2 linked regions of the Macaca fascicularis genome follow. The protein of the gene in region 2 purifies or fractionates together with the protein of the main gene of each other region. This does not show direct contact. Links are inferred from orthologs where the notes say so. Each region holds a gene or a part of one and is shown on either strand. Other genes may lie near its edges.

Evidence for each region.
Region 1: the proteins of CLTA (region 2) and CLTCL1 purify together in Homo sapiens (co-immunoprecipitation; 3 studies listed by BioGRID and IntAct, with this or other methods). This does not show direct contact. The link is inferred for Macaca fascicularis from reciprocal best matches to the Homo sapiens genes CLTA and CLTCL1.

Annotation. Positions count from the first base shown.
Region 1 is NC_088384.1:33,663,824-33,666,550, reverse strand, and holds the end of CLTCL1 (clathrin heavy chain 2), read right to left. Parts: intron 1,846-2,727; coding exon 1,770-1,845; intron 1,278-1,769; coding exon of another isoform or gene 1,258-1,277; exon of another isoform or gene 1,238-1,257; intron 1,010-1,237; coding exon 870-1,009; 3' UTR 506-869; downstream 1-505. UniProt on the Homo sapiens protein: Clathrin is the major protein of the polyhedral coat of coated pits and vesicles. Two different adapter protein complexes link the clathrin lattice either to the plasma membrane or to the trans-Golgi network.
Region 2 is NC_088389.1:63,154,809-63,158,627, forward strand, and holds part of CLTA (clathrin light chain A), read right to left. Parts: intron 3,020-3,819; coding exon 2,982-3,019; intron 1,474-2,981; coding exon 1,356-1,473; intron 1-1,355. UniProt on the Homo sapiens protein: Clathrin is the major protein of the polyhedral coat of coated pits and vesicles.

The sequences.
Region 1 (2,727 bases), on a different chromosome or scaffold from region 2:
GGGGCTGCGAGAAGCGGAGCCGTGGCCCAGCCCCGAGCTATGGGTCAAGGTGCACAGTATGCCGCTCCGCAGGGAAGCGGGCCTCGGGTCTGCGCGACTGGCGAGAGCAGCGGGATCCCCGGGGATCCCGGAGGCCAGGGGCATACCCTCCCCGAAAACACGTGGGGCTAGCCCAGTTCCTGAGGAACTCTAACGTTTCGAAGCTGGAGGAGGAAGGCGGGTGGCCAGTGAGAAGGGGCTACGCCGCCGGGTCCCCCTCCCGCAGCGGCCACGGGCTGGGACTCACCTGCCGGTTTCCACCCACACCTTTCCCGGATTTAGAGTTCCTGCATTCAGCGAACAAGGTCCGGAAAGACCCCAAATGCAAGCGGCTGTATTCTCCTAGGCAGCTTCTCTGGGCGCAGGTCCCACACCCCCAGAGGGCCCAGCAAATCTTTAATGGACTGCGGGGCCTAGGAAACTGGCCCCTGTCCCTCCCACCCACACCAGCACCAAGCAGAGCACCTTTGCCTGGATAAACCGACTTTAATATTTCAGATTGCCAGGAGGCTCAGAGTCCTGTTATGAGGTCCGGTACCTCCAAACAAGACGTGTTCACGTAGTCTTCAAACTGGCCTGGAGGGGGCAGCTCCAGCCAGTCGGGGGCGCCCAGGAGGAATCCCTGGCTCCAGCAGGAGGGCCCAGAGTCCAGACCCTGCTGGCGGCTGAAGATGGTCTTGCGCTGTCAGCCTCTACCCTGGCCTCCCCAGGCTCTAGGATGGCTCAGAGGTTGCCATCATTGGGTTTCACCAAAAATAAATATTGTCCAGGTGTCCCTGCCTCCCACTGCGGTCCCCTGTGCTGCTGGAGTGACACACTCCTTGGAGAAGTTAGTAACTCTGCAGGTAGAGTGGGTGGAGACAGCGCCCACTACACGCAGAAGTTGTACATTGGAGGCTGGTGAAGTTGGGAGCACAGGCATATCCATAGGGGAAGCTGGCAGGGCCTGCTATCAACCTCAGCTGCTGGCCTGCAGAGGGGGAAAGCCCACAATGAGCAGAGCTCTTCCTGCCCATGGGGGTCCTCTCCTGGCTACCCTGAGTAGCTGGGGCCCAGGAAGCAGGGTCTATAGGACCAGCCCTTACCACCCAGAAGCTGAGGCACCGAGAGAGTAGGCACCCAGAGGCAAGGAGTGTGTGGTCAGCCAGAGAAGCTGGCCTGGCTAGAGGATAAGCTAGTCCCCAAATGGGACACTTACTTAGTGCAATCAGCTGGGTCTCATTCATGCCCATCAAAATCTAAAAAAACCAGAATGGCATTAATGGTGGAGGGACACACTCAGCAGGAGGCTTGAGACCCACCAGCATGCTACACACTCACACCACATCCTCAGGCCTGCGTTGACCCAGCAGTGTCCCAGCACCCCACAGTCTCTCCAGTCTGCTCGACAGCCAGGCTGCCCTGGGCAGGTTCTCAGGTGCAAAGTTCCTCCCAGCACACACCAGCAACAGCCTTGCTGCCCAGGGGCCAGGCCCAGCAGGACACAGCAGCAGTTCACAGCTAGGCAGGCAGCCCCATCGGAAGGCAGGCACCCTTACAGCAGGGAGGACAGTGGCCATGCCAACATTCCTGGACGTACACATCTCCACACCCAGCAGCCAGTGGGATCCTTCCAGCCCCCACCCATCTATTCCCATCCTCATTCAAAGCCCAGCCAGGAAAGGGCAGTGGGACTTTGACTCCCTCCCTTCTCCCTCCCCAGGGGGTTGGGGGCTACAGGTGACACCTACCAAACATGAGAGGGGCCGGCTCCATCACATGCTCCTCTTGCTTGTGCAGACTCTCCAAGGCATCCAGTCTGTCCACCTGCAAGGAGGCGAGAGCATGTGAGCACCTGCTTGACAGAGTGCAGTCCCGGCCTCTAGGTGAAAGTAGAGTGGAAGGTCAGGACACAGGGCCTCCAGGAGAATGACAGTGGAGGAGGTGCACATGGGCAGAGGTGGAGTGGCTCAGTCCTCACCCCATGCACTTTTATAATGCAGCAAGGCATGGAGAGGTGAAGCCTCAGTAGCTGGGCTGAGATGGAGCAAAAGGTGGGGCCCCCAGAGCTTCCCAGTGGGGACTGGGGCAGTCAGTTGTTACAGGCTGTGAGTGTGGCCTGCTTATGGGGGGCCAAGTCCTCCTCTGGATACAGGGACACTGCCATTTACTGACTTGCAGGGCTGGGATGTGCAGGGAACACTGCCTGCTGCTGAATCCAGTCAGTCTAGTCTGCCCGCCCCTCCAAACCAGCAGAGAGATCATGTGGCTCTCAGAGACAAGTCACCTGGCACCTAGACACTTCACCTGAGAAGTACTGAGGACAAACTGCCTCCTCACTCTTCCCTGAGGCTTCACCAGACACTGACCCCACCCATGGCCAGAGAGTGAGGCGGCAGCACTGCACTGGAGGGGCGGCAGCAACTGTGCAGCTAAGATCCCCTCACAAACACACTGAGTAAGAAAGAGAAACAAGAATGTGCCCCCATGAGCTGGGGTCTGGGGGGCTGAGAAGTGAGGAGGGAGCAGGGGGCACACTCGCTGACACCTAGGGTGAGGGGTGAGCTAGGCCTGTACCCTCCCTAAACTGGGAGAGTGCCGGGGGCATCTCAGAGGGATGGCCCTTGAGCTTCCCAGATGAGCCACGAGGCCCTGGGCCCAGCTGTCCACCAGGAAGGGACTGTGCTTCTTGTCTGTGCCCTCATTCTC
Region 2 (3,819 bases):
TGCTGACACTGTGGTTACATAGGAGAATGTCATTATTTCTAGGAGGTGTACATTGAAATATTTAGACATGAAGTATATGATGTCTTTATCTTAAAGTAGGTCAGTCAGAACAATTTGTGTATGTGTGTATATGTCTAAAACATATCATTTATATAAAGATAACCCAATATGGTGAAATATTAATTACTGATTCTGGGGGTGCACACATTTATTTTCCTCTTCTTTCAGTTGTTCTGTAAAGTTGAGAAAAGATGAATCTTAAAGTCAGCTGATTAAAAAAAGAAAAAACAAAAGGCCACAATGTGGATTATGTCCTCACACTCTGCATACTTCTCCAATCCACCATGTATAGACACAAGTCTCCCCTGATCATGAACCAACAGGTGACACTCTGTGTACACATCTCTTTATCAAACGCCAGGCCGTGTGGCTAGATGGTCATGCGCACTAAATGTTTAGAAAGCAATGTGGCTGATGGGGATGCGTAGTGACTTTGAAGCAAGGCAGACTTCAGCTGAAATTGTGGCTCTTACCATTTCTTAGCTGAGTATTCCAAATACTTATTCTACCTCTCCTCCGCTTTTCTTACCTGTAAAACTTACCTTACAGAGATATTAAGGTAGGAAAAACAAATTGTACATTTTTCCTAACATACCTCATTTTCCTCATGTTACCTTAAATTAATTCAGCCTTCAAATGAAAAATGGAGGCTGGGCGCAGTGGCTCACACCTAGAATCCCAGCACTTTGGGAGGCAGAGGTGGGCGGATCATAAGGTCGGAGATCGAGACCAGCCTGGCCAACGTGATGAAACCCCATCTCTACTAAAAATACAAAAAAAAAAAATAGCCAGGCATGGTGGCGGGCGCCTGTAGTCCCAGCTACTTGGGAGGCTGAGGCAGGAGAATGGTGTGAACCCGGGAGGTGGAGCTTGCAGTGAGCGGAGATCGCACCACTGCACTCCAGCCTGGGTGACAGAGTGAGACTCCGTCTCAAAAAAAAAAAAAAAAAGAAAAACGGACTGTGAAAGTCCATGGACATGTGAAACTTGAATCTTTCAAGTTTACACAGCACCCTATAAACACCACCTGAGGCTACTCTTGAGGTCAGTAATAGCATCACTATGCTCTTCCTGTGAGAGGATCTTGGGGCTCTCCGGCTACTCTACTCCTCACACAATGGCCTATGATTAGGCATCTCTGGGCAGGTAGCCTTGTAACCTTCAGGCTGAGAAGATATCTTCCCAAAGATCAGACAATGACACCGGTTAATCTGAAGTAAAAAGGAATAAAAGTAGAGTCCAGGTCAACTACTCCACTGAAAACAGATACCCAAAGACAGAAAGGGATTCCTTACCAAGGGCTTCCAAGCGTTCCATTTGCTCTTCTCTCCATTTACGGATACTTTCAGGCTCTGACTGCAATCGATCCACTTGTGAAATAGCTGCGTAACTGTCTGTTGGACCATTACTTTCCTTAACACAAAACACAATTGTCCTATATTAATACCAAAAATTCCTTCCTAAAATGCACTTCACCTGAGTTAGAACCCCTGGTTCTTTTTTTTTTTTTTTGAGACAGAGTTTTCACTCTTCTCGCCCAAGTTGGAGTGCAGTGCAGTGGCACTATCTTGGCTCATTGCAACCTCCGCCTCCCAGGTTCAAGCAATTCTCCTGCCTCCACCTCCTCCCAAGTAGCTGAGATTACAGGCGCCCGTCACCACGCACAGCTTATTTTTGTATTTTTAGTAGAGATGGGGTTTCATCACGTTGGCCAGGCTGGTCTTGAACTCCTAACCTCAGGTTATCTGCCCACCTTGGCCTCCCAAAGTGCTGGGATTACAGGCGTGAGCCACCACACCCGGCCAGAGCCACCACAAGCAACCAGTCAGAACCCCTGTTTCTAACAACAATGGTGGCTGCTGTAAAATGTTAAAGGATTACCTTAAAAGCAACAACATAGGCCAGGCACGGTGGCTCACGCCTGTAATTCCAGCACTTTGGGAGGCTGGGGTGGGTGGATCATTTGAGGTCAGGAGTTCCAGACCAGCCTGGCCAACATAGTGAAACCTGTCTCTACTAAAAATACAAAATGAACCAGGTGGTAGTGGCGTGTGCCTGTAATCCCAGCTACTGGGGAGACTGAGGCAGGAGGAGAATTTGCTAGAACCTGGGGAATGGAGGTTGCAGTGAGCCAAGACTGCACCACTGCACTCCAGTTTGGGTGACAGAGTGAGACCCTGTCCCACCCCCCCAAACCCCCCCCCCCAAAAAAAGGCAACCACATAGAACAGGTGCAGTGGCTCACGCCTGTAATCCCAACACTTTGGGAGGCCGAGGTGGGCGGATCACTTCAGCCTAGGAGTTCAAGACCAGCCTGGCCAACATGGTGAAACCCCATCTCTACTAAAAATACAAAAAATTAGCCAGGCGTGGTGGCGTGCACCTGTAATTCTAGCTACTCAGGAGGCTGAGGTGGACGAATCGCTTGAACCCAGGAGATGGAAGTTGCAAATGAGATGAGATCGTGCCACTGCACTCCAGCCTGGGCAACAGAGACTGTCTCAAAAAAAAAAAAAAAAAAAGACTCAAATAAATGTTAATCTTTACAGAACTATTCCATGTGCCACTCACTGAACTAAGGAACATTACCAGGTTAACCTAATCAGACTATAAACAAAGATGGAAGAAGAACTATTTAAAGTATTAGTACTAACTTACTGCACTTAACACAGTGTCATTTGAAGAGTAGTTTCTTTAGAATAAAGGTGGTAACACTAGGGGCAGGTAAATAACATTTTAAAACAGTTCTCTTTTTATCAATGCTACCTCTCTTTAAATCTTTCCACTTTGGTAGATAACATACCAGCCAGTAATACATCCAGGAAAGTCAAAGGACTGGGGTTTCTTTCTAGGTCAATTAAAATCACAGGAAAGGAAAACTCTCAATCACTATCAATGAATAGAATCAGAGTACTCTGTACCTGGTAGTATTCACCATTCATTACTCCATCAACAGCATCTGCAAGACATAAGGTTTTGGTCTATCAATAAAGACTGGTCAAACACTGGGCCAAAGGGTTGTACAGCAGAATACAGCATTATATGCTGTATGAACCTTGAGCTACTAAATGCTATTCCTGTGGTAGGTGCTATATACAACAAAATAATAAAACCAAGATGTGCTTATATACAAACTTCACCAAAATGTGGACACATCTGTCCTCAAGCTCCCAAGTCCAAAACCTTTTGATTTTGTTTTCTGTTTTCTATTTTACAGTGGTAACAAATGGAAGACTGGCAGAAGAGTCTCAGAGAACAGTGTTTCTCTATGAAAGTTCTGCAGAAGAAAAAAAAAGTGTGGCCTGGAATCACCCATAGTGAGCAGAGACCTGCAGCTTCATCTTTGAGATAGTCTTGCTCTGTCGCCCAGGCTGGAGCACAGTGGCCCAATCATGGCTTACTGTAGTCTCGACCTTTTTTGGGCTCAAGTGATCCTCCCACCTCAGTCCCCACGGGAGCTGGGATTACAGGCATGCGCCACCACGCCTGGCTAATTTTTCTGTTTTGTAGGGAGGGGATTTCGCCACGCTGCCCAGGCTGCTCTCGAATTCCTGGACTCAAGCGATCCACCCACCTCGGTCTCCCAAATTGTTGGATTACAGGCATGAGCCACCATGCCTGGCCTCTCACATTTTTCTTAATTTTCCTAGTTGACTTTTACTCCTATATGTCAGTACAAAAATGAGTTTCTTGTAGTTCATTATGTCAGTGGCCTTTTACTACTTTAAGCCATGTGCCACCTACCTATATAGTTTTTAA